Linked DNA regions of Saccharomyces cerevisiae S288C. The main gene of each other region encodes a partner of the protein of the gene in region 4 in a complex. Each region holds a gene or a part of one and is shown on either strand. Other genes may lie near its edges.

Region 1 (3,173 bases), on a different chromosome or scaffold from region 4:
CATGAAGCAACACTCTGAAAAGCAAAGCAATTTCTGGAGCAAGCTCGACTACTTGGGGATTATCAGTTTGATTTCCTGTTCTATGATCCCTATAATATACTTTGGTTACTTCGACCACATATCCTACTTCAGTCTTTTCACGATTGTTACTTTAGTCCTGGCAACATTTTGTACAGTCTGTGTCCTCCACGACAAGTTTAACACTTCCACATTTCGTCCATTTAGGGCCATGTTTTTCATATTGTTTGGATTTAGTGGCTTACTCCCATTGACCACAGGGTTTTTCAAGTTCGGTATCCAAGGGGTTCTTAACAGAATAAAAGTCAGCTTTGTGTTTTGGGAAGCTCTCTTTTACATTTCAGGGGCTGTAATCTACGGGTTTAGGATTCCTGAAACTTTGGCTCCAGGGAAGTTCGATTTCTTCGGTAGCTCTCATCAAATATTTCATATTATGGTGGTTCTTGGTTCTGTATGCCACTTGAAAGCCATTATCGATTCTTACAAATTAATGCATTCTCATATCCACCCTTGATGGGCCTACAACTACTACAAAATCAAATAAATAACATTATATATCTAAGGTTAGAAAATAATTAAATGCAAAAAAAGTCTTTATTCCTTTTTAGATATTCGTCACATCATGCTTTTATCATAGATCGCATTTTGACAGGTACTTCGCTATATTAGCCTAATTAATTTTGGTCTTACTAAAGTGAGTAATGCCGAAAAATTAAACGTTTGAATAAGTGAACCTACTACAAAGGAAAGAGAGGAAGAGAAAAGGATAGGACTAAAAGACTTCCTTATATTTTTCGGTACGCTTGCGTTTCACTGAAGAGAATAAAAAGAACAAATTATATAAATTTAACACACTATGAGCACGAGAACAAAGGCCCTGAATGCATACAGGCATGGCTTAAGAGCAACCCGAATAGCTTTCCGGAATGATGCTGAAGTATTACTAGCCGCGAGAGCTAAAATGCGTTCAGGAATGTTATGTCCCCCAGATCCTAAACTCACCACAGAGGATCAGATTCAACATTTAGAGGATGTGGCTGTTTTTTTGAGACGAAACCTGGTTCAGGGCAAAAAGGTTGATGGCTCAAGTACTAAGGAGCCTAGGTACCATTTGAACATTCACAAAGACACCGAATTGGGTGACAATGAGACGATTGCAGACCCTACGGCAAGAGTGAAAACAAACTTAAAGGCAAGACCATTTAAATGCTCTGATAAAAAGCAATGATAATGCCTTGATTTTGTTTTATCTTCGAAGCTATATACATGTAAATACTTTTTTAGTACCTAGCAACTTTGCTAGGTGGCATATAAACTGATTTAGCACGATATATCGTTGCATTTGTTCTGTTTGTAGTATGTACATGTATACAGCTTGTTGTATTTGATGTGCTACTGAAACAGCGTAGTTGCTAGTGCTTTATCCCTTTTGACGGAAATGAACAAAGCTTTATAGCGGAATTAAACTTAACGAAACTGGAGAAAGCATAAAAGAGGAAAAGGGCAGCGGTAACTCATTAAATAATCTAGTTGGACGAGCCATAATAAGAGAAATAGACGGAGTAGAAAATGCGCTCCTCCATGTTTAGATGTGTGAGTCGCGCTCATTACAGCACAAGTGTCACAGAAGATTTCATAAATAGCATTCTAGCAAGGGCTCAAGAGGCAACAGCAAAAGCTTCCTCCAATGCTCTCAAATTGGACAAGATGAAGGAGGGTAGAATGCAAAATAAGAGGAGAAACGGGAATCAGAATAGGAATAGTATGAACAATAAAGAAAGCAGGGGTAGAGAGGGAAATCAAGGAGAAAGAAACATGAGACTGAAAAACCGTTCTAGTGATTCTGTTCGTGCTAACAAGCAGCAGTGGAATAAAGGTGCTAATACGTCTTTTGTAAAGAATCCTACTGGAAATACAGTAGTTATGCAGCCACAGTTCAAAAAGATGCAGAATGGCAAAAATAATTTGAAAGGAGATGCGAGAGTCGAAGATGATTTACTTGATGTCTTCAATTCGTCGATGGAGCAAAAACCTGTTAATTTCAATGGAACCCCCAAATCTAAAGCAAGGTTTCAAAAAAAGAGTCATATCTTAACAGCATCTAAAAGGAGAAAGGCTCCTCAACAGCAGCTACAGAAGGTTATCAAGAGACCTGTCAGTTCAGAATATGTACTAGAAGAGCCCACTCCTTTATCTTTGTTAGAATATACTCCTCAAGTTTTTCCAACAAAGGAATCCAGATTAGTCAACTTTACCTTAGATAGCTTGAAAAAATCCAATTACCCCATTTACAGATCGCCAAATTTGGGAATCCTCAAAGTACATGATTTCACCCTAAACACGCCAAACTTTGGTAAATATACACCAGGATCCTCCTTGATTTTTGCCAAAGAGCCTCAATTGCAGAATTTACTTATTGAAGAAGACCCAGAAGATTTTCATAGGCAAGTAACAGGAGAATATCAACTCTTAAAACCATATGTGAAAAAAGATTTTGAAAAACTGACGAAATCTAAAGATACTGTGAGTAAGCTCGTACAAAATAGTCAAGTTGTGAGGTTATCATTACAATCTGTTGTTATGGGCTCCGAGGAAAAGAAATTGGTATATGATGTTTGTTCTGGAATGAAACCAATTTCTGAATTACAACAGTAAATCAAACATCGTTATTTCATTCTTACATACCTGTAAATATCTAGTACGTATAAAATTTGAATTGTATGCCTGAACAGAAAAAGAATAGGTGGGCTCTTCTTATCCTTGACTATCAAAATTCCGGCTTAGTTCGTCAGAAATGGATATTTGATTTTTCAACAAACATTTCCGCAAATTAGATTCCTCCTTCTTTTCTTGATACTTAATAAGTACCTTTAAAAGCAATTCGGATATTGTTTGTACGGGAAATACGGAAGGTATAGTTTCGAGGATCTTTAATTGAATATCTGTATCATCTAAAAGTTCAAAATTTCTCTGTAGCAAATTAGTCACTAATTCAACTGAGTAATTCAAAGAAGATATGTCCAAGTATTGTTTCATCACCGCAACCAAGTTCTGCTTGCCTATGTATTTTTCTACACTTCTGAAATCATTAAATGACAAATATATTTTCAGCAATTCTTCGGAAGAAACCCAGTTTGTTAATTCATTGGGGAAAA
Region 2 (3,335 bases), on a different chromosome or scaffold from region 4:
AAATTACCATAATAAGATATATTATTTATTAATAATAAAAATATTTATTAATAAATAAGAAATATATATATTATGATAATATTTATTAATAAATAATAAATTCTTTATATATAAATATATTAAATATATTTAATTGAACACAATATAATTTTTATTGTATTATTCATTTAATAATATTAATATTAATATTAATATAATATTAGTGAACATCTCCTTTCGGGGTTCCGGCTCCCGTGGCCGGGCCCCGGAACTATTAATATTTAATAAAATATATATAATTTATAATTTTCATATAATTAATATAATAATTAGGTTTATAAATAAATTATAATATATTATAACAATATAATAAAATATATTATAAATCTATCTATCTATCTATATAATATATAAATTTATATATACATTAATAATATTTAATTATAATTATTTAAATATTTAATTTATTAATATTCCCCGCGGGCGCCAATCCGGTTGTTCACCGGATTGGTCCCGCGGGGTTTATATTATTTAAATATTAAATATTAAATAATAATTTATATTATATTAATAAATATAATAAATTAAAAATATATGATTAATTATATAATAATAATAATAATTATTTTAATATTATAATTTATAAAATTAATTATATTAATTATATTAATTCTTATTATATAATAATTATTAATAATAATTTATTTTAAGAAAGGAGTGAGGGACCCCCTCCCGTTAGGGAGGGGGACCGAACCCCGAAGGAGAAAATAAATTAATAAAAGTTTAAAAGTTCTTATATTAATAATTATATAATATTATATTAAAGATTTTTATAATATATATATATAATATATTTATAGTTCCGGGGCCCGGCCACGGGAGCCGGAACCCCGAAAGGAGTTTATTTAATATTTATATTTATATTAATATTTATATTTATATTTATATTCCTCTTAAGGATGGTTGACTGAGTGGTTTAAAGTGTGATATTTGAGCTATCATTAGTCTTTATTGGCTACGTAGGTTCAAATCCTACATCATCCGTAATAATACATATATATAATAATAATTTTAATATTATTCCTATAAAAATAAAATAAATAAATAAATAATAATAATTAATTAATTAATTAATTTTAATAAATATAAAATATATAAAAATAATAATAATAATAATTATTATTTTAATAATATTATTTATATAATAGTCCGGTCCGACCCTTTTTATTCTTAAGAAGGGATTTTATTTTATTAATTAATAATAATATATTAAAAATTATAAATAATTAATAATTCTTTATATTTATATATATATATATATATTTATATATTTATATATATATTTTAATAATATTATGATATATTTTATTTTAATAATATTTTTATTTTTATATATAAAATTATAATATTTTATTTTATAAATTATTTATATATAAATTATTAATAATAATTATTTTTTTTTATTTGGGATTTATATTATTATTATAAAGAATATAATGTTATTAATAACTGCAAAAAATATCTAATATATTATTATTTATAATAATAAATAATATTATAATAAGGATGCATATTATATATATATATATATTTCTATTTATATTAATATTAATATTAATATGTATATATAATAGATAAAAAGTAAAAATAAAAAATAATGAAATTAAAATTATTAAATATAATTTTATCAATAATAAATAAACTTAATAATAATAATAATATTATTATTAATAATCTATTAGATTCATTAATAAATAAGAAATTATTATTAAAGAATATATTATTAGATATAAATAATAAAAAAATAAATAATATAAAAAGAATATTAAATAATAATAATATAAACCCCGCGGGCGCCAATCCGGTTGTTCACCGGATTGGTCCCGCGGGGAATATTAATAATAAATTACAACATTTAAATAATATAAATAATTGAAATCTACAAATTTATAATTATAATAAAAATATAGAAATTATAAATACTATAAATGATAAATTAATTAATAAATTATTATATAAAATAATAACTTTAAAATTAAATAATATAAATATTAATAAAATTATTATAAGTAAACTTATTAATCAACATAGTTTAAATAAATTAAATATTAAATTTTATTATTATAATAATGATATTAATAATAATAATAATAATAATAATAATAATTATTATATAAATATAATAAATAAATTAATAAATATTATAAATAATAATATAAATAATAATTTATGTAATATTTTAAGTTATTATTATAAAAAAAAAGTAACTATTGAACCTATTAAATTATCATATATTTATTTAAATAGTGATATTTTTAGTAAATATATTAGTTTAAATGATATAGATAAATATAATAATGGTATCTTAACTAATTATCAACGTATATTAAATAATATTATGCCTAAATTAAATGATCATAATATTTCTATAAATTATATTAATAATATTAATAATATTAATAATAATAAATATAATAATATAATTAATTTATTAAATAATAATAATAATATTAATAATAATAATAATTATAATAATAATAATAATAATTATATTGGTAATATTAATAATATTTATAATAATATAACTATTGATAATATTCCTATAGATATTTTAATATATAAATATTTAGTTGGTTGATCTATTAAATTTAAAGGTAGATTAAGTAATAATAATGGTAGAACTAGTACACTTAATTTATTAAATGGTACTTTTAATAATAAAAAATATTTATGAAGTAATATTAATAATAATTATAAATTAAATTATATCCCTTCTAATCATAATTTATATAATAATTCTAATATTAATAAAAATGGTAAATATAATATTAAAGTTAAATTAAACTTTATTTAATATATATATTAATAGTTCCGGGGCCCGGCCACGGGAGCCGGAACCCCGAAAGGAGAAATAAAATAAATATAATAAATAAAATAAATAAATAAATAATATATATATATATATAAATATATAAAATAATATTTACTTTTTATATATATATAATTATATATAAATAAAATATAATATAATATCATATAATTATATAAAAATAAAATTATAATTTATTTATATTAAAAATATTAATTAATTAATTTTTTTATATAATTATTATAATAATAATTTAATTAAAAATAAATATCAAATAAAATTATAAATTAATCCTACTTTTGGATCCTATTTATATTTTATTATTATAAATAATTATTATTGATAGTTAATTAAATAAAAATATATATATATATTACTCCTTCGGGGTCCGCCCCGCAGGGGGCGGGCCGGACTATTATAATTATTATTAATATATTAATTATTAAATTATATAAACCGCCCCCGCGGGGGCGGTTAGTTATTTATA
Region 3 (2,840 bases), 490 kb from region 4:
ACCAACGCCAAAACATTTAACAGCAATGGCAAAATCGAACACTACACTTATTGACGGATTGATTAGTTGGGTGAGTTTAGCAAACGAGGCGTTCTCAGATTTAGGTACGTACTTCGCTATTCGAGTCTGTAATAGCAGCCCACATAAGGAACATATTCCGCAAAATGTTAGCGTTATCAGACCAGGCATTAACCCAAATGGCTTGAATGCAAACGGCATTGCAAGTACGCCTGCTCCACATGCTGTATGGAGCAAAGTTAAGACTCCCGAACGTACGTTTGACGGCATATTGAGGAAGCTGCTTACTTTTCGTTTCCACTTTATCTTGCTGTTCGTTCGAGCAACAGTATTTATTTCCTTTTTTTGACGATGGAAATAATGGATAAGTGAAGTCATAGAATAAAAAATATACAAAAATTTAACTAAATAGTTACGCATTACCTATTTACAAAGACGGAAATCAATGGCGAAAATTTCACAATATTCAAGAGTTGATGGTACGATTAGTATCCTTTCCTCTTGGCATCTTTAACAATTTCAATCAACCTCTTGAAGCCCATCATGAATTCCTTCCTATGCCTTTGAGATCTCTTCAATTCAGCCACTTTCCCCGGCTTCATGTAAAACCGTTGACTTCTTTTATCTCCGGGAATATTGTTCTCAAACATGATCCTGTTTAATCTCTTAAATGATTCTGCAGGGTTGTTCTTATTCACGATTATAGATTTTCCAGAATTGAATCTCATTTGTGCATTCTCCACGCTACTTCTAGCAATTTCCGCCTCGGATAGAAGCTCCCTCTTGTTTATTCTCCCAGCAGATTGCATCATATCTACTGGAATTTCCATTGATAAAATATCTGCATTATCAGTTTTGCTTTTAGAGGTTTGGCCACGATCGCTGTTGCTTCCCTGAGCTAATTTGATTGGATTTAGTATGATTTTATCGATATCCGAATTTTGTTGGCGTAAACAGTCGATCGTTGTGAAACCTCTTCTGAGAGAGATTCTTGAAAGCCTCAGCGTGCTCTTCAACATTATGGTTATGCTCTTATGGGTGATATTTGACAGATTTTTTACTCTTCAAGGGACCTTTAATGACCTGGTCTCACTTATTTTTTATTTTCAATCTTGGGAAAGAAGCGAACTTAAAAAAGAAAGGAAGCCATAGCAAGAAGCTAATAAGTGGGCTTTTACATCAACAAGTACTGTAGAAGCTCTACCGTATTGAAAAATGACAGACGCTGAAATAGAAAATTCCCCTGCTTCTGATTTAAAAGAATTGAATTTGGAGAATGAAGGCGTTGAACAGCAAGACCAGGCAAAAGCTGACGAGTCAGACCCAGTAGAAAGCAAAAAGAAGAAGAACAAGAAAAAGAAGAAGAAGAAAAGCAATGTGAAGAAGATTGAATTACTGTTTCCAGATGGAAAGTACCCAGAAGGTGCGTGGATGGACTATCATCAAGATTTCAATCTGCAAAGAACCACGGATGAAGAATCACGTTATTTGAAAAGGGATCTGGAAAGGGCCGAACATTGGAATGATGTCAGAAAGGGTGCTGAGATACATCGTCGTGTGAGAAGGGCCATCAAGGACAGAATCGTTCCTGGGATGAAGTTAATGGATATCGCTGACATGATCGAAAATACTACAAGAAAGTATACAGGTGCCGAAAATTTATTAGCGATGGAGGATCCCAAATCTCAAGGTATTGGGTTTCCAACGGGTCTCTCTCTCAACCATTGTGCTGCACATTTCACACCCAATGCAGGCGACAAAACCGTTCTGAAATACGAAGACGTGATGAAGGTAGATTATGGTGTGCAGGTAAACGGTAACATCATTGATTCTGCCTTTACTGTTTCCTTTGATCCACAATACGATAACCTGCTAGCCGCTGTAAAGGACGCTACTTACACGGGTATTAAAGAAGCGGGTATCGATGTGAGATTAACCGACATCGGTGAAGCCATCCAAGAAGTTATGGAATCCTACGAAGTGGAAATCAATGGTGAGACTTACCAGGTTAAACCTTGTCGTAATCTATGTGGCCACAGTATCGCACCATATCGTATCCACGGCGGTAAATCCGTTCCCATCGTCAAAAATGGGGACACTACAAAAATGGAGGAAGGTGAGCACTTTGCCATTGAAACTTTTGGTTCTACTGGTAGAGGTTATGTTACTGCCGGTGGGGAAGTTTCTCATTATGCCAGATCTGCTGAAGACCATCAGGTAATGCCCACGTTAGACAGCGCCAAGAACTTGTTAAAAACGATAGACCGCAACTTTGGGACTTTACCGTTCTGTCGCCGATACCTAGACAGACTTGGCCAAGAGAAATACTTATTTGCGTTGAATAACTTGGTTAGACACGGTTTAGTACAGGATTATCCACCATTGAACGATATCCCCGGATCCTACACTGCACAATTCGAACACACCATCTTGTTGCATGCTCACAAAAAGGAAGTCGTTTCGAAAGGTGATGACTACTGAGGTAAAATGCGCTTTCAAATGGCCTCCTCACTAGGTATATGAATACTGTTGTAGTTATATAGATAGTTTAATATGGCTTGCCGCCCGTTTAGAATGATGCATTACCTTATATAAGACCTATGGGGGTCTCAAACAGTGGTATGACGACAGATAATATAAGCACTAGTTCAGACGAGTAAACAATGAGAATAGTGCCAGAAAAGCTGGTGTTCAAGGGTATGTTTGACGAGAATTGCTAGTGTGCGGGAAACTTTGCTACCTTTTTTGGTGCGATGCAACAGGTTACTAATATGTAATACTTCAGCTCCCCTTAATAAACAATCAACAGAGTATATAAAGCT
Region 4 (3,049 bases):
ATGTGACAATGAAATAATCAAATTGTGACATCTGCTGACGCGGGATCGTTCCTTCGTATTGTCTAGATTGTAATCTATATAACATACTACGAATATAAAAGAGGGACTACAAGATATTTCTAGCGCAAACTACTGCTTTACTGTCTCACAATGTCTCTGATTGGAAGATACCTAAGAAAATTATTTAACTACATATCTACAAAATCAAAGCATCATGCCTTCGCAAGTCATTCCTGAAAAACAAAAGGCTATTGTCTTTTATGAGACAGATGGAAAATTGGAATATAAAGACGTCACAGTTCCGGAACCTAAGCCTAACGAAATTTTAGTCCACGTTAAATATTCTGGTGTTTGTCATAGTGACTTGCACGCGTGGCACGGTGATTGGCCATTTCAATTGAAATTTCCATTAATCGGTGGTCACGAAGGTGCTGGTGTTGTTGTTAAGTTGGGATCTAACGTTAAGGGCTGGAAAGTCGGTGATTTTGCAGGTATAAAATGGTTGAATGGGACTTGCATGTCCTGTGAATATTGTGAAGTAGGTAATGAATCTCAATGTCCTTATTTGGATGGTACTGGCTTCACACATGATGGTACTTTTCAAGAATACGCAACTGCCGATGCCGTTCAAGCTGCCCATATTCCACCAAACGTCAATCTTGCTGAAGTTGCCCCAATCTTGTGTGCAGGTATCACTGTTTATAAGGCGTTGAAAAGAGCCAATGTGATACCAGGCCAATGGGTCACTATATCCGGTGCATGCGGTGGCTTGGGTTCTCTGGCAATCCAATACGCCCTTGCTATGGGTTACAGGGTCATTGGTATCGATGGTGGTAATGCCAAGCGAAAGTTATTTGAACAATTAGGCGGAGAAATATTCATCGATTTCACGGAAGAAAAAGACATTGTTGGTGCTATAATAAAGGCCACTAATGGCGGTTCTCATGGAGTTATTAATGTGTCTGTTTCTGAAGCAGCTATCGAGGCTTCTACGAGGTATTGTAGGCCCAATGGTACTGTCGTCCTGGTTGGTATGCCAGCTCATGCTTACTGCAATTCCGATGTTTTCAATCAAGTTGTAAAATCAATCTCCATCGTTGGATCTTGTGTTGGAAATAGAGCTGATACAAGGGAGGCTTTAGATTTCTTCGCCAGAGGTTTGATCAAATCTCCGATCCACTTAGCTGGCCTATCGGATGTTCCTGAAATTTTTGCAAAGATGGAGAAGGGTGAAATTGTTGGTAGATATGTTGTTGAGACTTCTAAATGATCTTTTGTAACGAATTTGATGAATATATTTTTACTTTTTATATAAGCTATTTTGTAGATATTGACTTTTTACGATTTATTTGTAACAATGAGAATTACTCCATTTCTGAACTTCAGTAAATAGCGAGTGATTCTGTACTTTGCGAGAACCGGTGGACATTTGGTATTTTGCCTTACAAGAACAACCTATACAAACGTTTCAATATCTAATTCTTTGTAATCCATTGTTTTACGAGACATATAATGTGATATATAGATGAACTTTACGTATAAAATGATATATTTAAAACTAGCAACTGCGTGCGTAAGACAAACTGAAATAGGCCATTTACGGAAAAGAAATTTAATAATGTCGACTGGAAACTGAAACCAGGAGGAGTAGAAATTGGTTAAATTGATTAGCTAAAATTTACTCGTTGTGGACAGAGTTTGAGCCAAGCGGAATGTTTTCAAGGCTTTCTTTGTTTCGAAGGGCAGCTCTGGCTCCTGCCCCTATGAGAATGTCTTTTAGGACTATTTATCAAAAAACCGAGGATGAATTGCCCAGAAGGATCGTCCCAAAGCTAGCCACATTTTATTCGGCGAATCCTAACCATGAAGATCGTATTAATCGACTCGAAAGACTTCTAAGGAAATACATAAAACTGCCATCTCAGAACAACAATGAAGCACAACAAACAAAAGCTCCTTGGATTTCTTTCGATGAGTACGCTTTAATCGGCGGTGGTACGAAATTAAAGCCTACGCAATATACTCAGCTACTGTATATGTTGAATAAACTTCACAACATTGATCCTCAACTTACTAATGATGAAATCACATCCGAACTATCCCAATATTATAAAAAAAGTTCAATGCTTTCCAATAATATCAAAATCAAAACTTTAGATGAGTTTGGAAGAAGTATAGCCGTTGGAAAAAGGAAAAGTTCCACTGCGAAAGTATTCGTTGTTAGAGGTACAGGTGAGATATTAGTTAATGGTCGACAATTGAATGATTACTTCCTTAAGATGAAAGACAGAGAATCAATCATGTATCCACTTCAAGTGATCGAATCAGTTGGAAAGTACAATATTTTTGCGACAACGTCTGGAGGCGGACCTACGGGTCAGGCTGAATCAATCATGCACGCCATTGCGAAAGCTTTGGTTGTGTTCAATCCATTATTAAAATCCAGACTACATAAAGCTGGCGTCTTAACAAGAGATTACAGGCACGTCGAAAGAAAGAAGCCAGGAAAAAAGAAGGCAAGAAAGATGCCAACATGGGTCAAGAGATAGTCTTAGTGCATCTTGTTACCTCAATTTCGAACGGAAGCGTGCGTGCTCTGAGTTTTTTGACACATGCCAGAAGAAACGTTATATATTTTGCATACAACGCCGCCCAGCATTAGAAGCACAACTCTCGTTCGTTATTCCTGTAAATAAAGTTATATGTATTCGAATATTGCTCAGTTAGTATTTTCTTCTACTTACTGCACATAATACTTCATCTTTTTTTTCCTCTCACCCGCAAAGCAAAGGGGCCTTGCAGCAATGACTCAAATTCCATTGGAAAAAAGAAGGAGATGATAAGATGCAAATCAGAATAGATTTTACTATGACCGTTACATGTAAAAAGAGTCATAATATAAACCATAAATACTACAAATAACACCGGGTTCAGGCATATAAATAAACTATTCTCCTGTAATATCCCACAATATTTTGTTATAACCCAGACGTAATAGCCTCAAGCGAGCATCCCTAAATTTCTGCCATGAAGCTGATCCCAATTATTT

What was found.
Region 1: MRPS9 (region 4) and RSM28 share a complex: the UniProt entries of both Saccharomyces cerevisiae proteins name them as parts of the mitochondrial small ribosomal subunit.
Region 2: MRPS9 (region 4) and VAR1 share a complex: the UniProt entries of both Saccharomyces cerevisiae proteins name them as parts of the mitochondrial small ribosomal subunit.
Region 3: MRPS9 (region 4) and MRP21 share a complex: the UniProt entries of both Saccharomyces cerevisiae proteins name them as parts of the mitochondrial small ribosomal subunit.

The regions. Positions count from the first base shown.
Region 1 is NC_001136.10:1,435,343-1,438,515, forward strand, and holds RSM28 (mitochondrial 37S ribosomal protein mS46 RSM28), read left to right. Parts: upstream 1-1,587; coding exon 1,588-2,673; downstream 2,674-3,173. Other genes in the region: IZH1 (PAQR-type receptor), read left to right, coding at 1-532; MZM1 (Mzm1p), read left to right, coding at 875-1,246; CORVET complex subunit VPS3, read right to left, coding at 2,773-3,173. UniProt on the Saccharomyces cerevisiae protein: Component of the mitochondrial ribosome (mitoribosome), a dedicated translation machinery responsible for the synthesis of mitochondrial genome-encoded proteins, including at least some of the essential transmembrane subunits of the mitochondrial respiratory chain.
Region 2 is NC_001224.1:47,265-50,599, forward strand, and holds VAR1 (mitochondrial 37S ribosomal protein VAR1), read left to right. Parts: upstream 1-1,636; coding exon 1,637-2,833; downstream 2,834-3,335. UniProt on the Saccharomyces cerevisiae protein: Component of the mitochondrial ribosome (mitoribosome), a dedicated translation machinery responsible for the synthesis of mitochondrial genome-encoded proteins, including at least some of the essential transmembrane subunits of the mitochondrial respiratory chain.
Region 3 is NC_001134.8:47,022-49,861, reverse strand, and holds MRP21 (mitochondrial 37S ribosomal protein bS21m MRP21), read right to left. Parts: upstream 1,038-2,840; coding exon 504-1,037; downstream 1-503. Other genes in the region: AVT5 (amino acid transporter), read right to left, coding at 1-288; MAP2 (methionine aminopeptidase), read left to right, coding at 1,234-2,499; phospholipid metabolism-regulating protein SCS22, read left to right, coding at 2,682-2,715, 2,804-2,840. UniProt on the Saccharomyces cerevisiae protein: Component of the mitochondrial ribosome (mitoribosome), a dedicated translation machinery responsible for the synthesis of mitochondrial genome-encoded proteins, including at least some of the essential transmembrane subunits of the mitochondrial respiratory chain.
Region 4 is NC_001134.8:533,548-536,596, forward strand, and holds MRPS9 (mitochondrial 37S ribosomal protein uS9m MRPS9), read left to right. Parts: upstream 1-1,712; coding exon 1,713-2,549; downstream 2,550-3,049. Other genes in the region: YBR144C (uncharacterized protein), read right to left, coding at 1-2; alcohol dehydrogenase ADH5, read left to right, coding at 215-1,270; RTC2 (cationic amino acid transporter), read left to right, coding at 3,028-3,049. UniProt on the Saccharomyces cerevisiae protein: Component of the mitochondrial ribosome (mitoribosome), a dedicated translation machinery responsible for the synthesis of mitochondrial genome-encoded proteins, including at least some of the essential transmembrane subunits of the mitochondrial respiratory chain.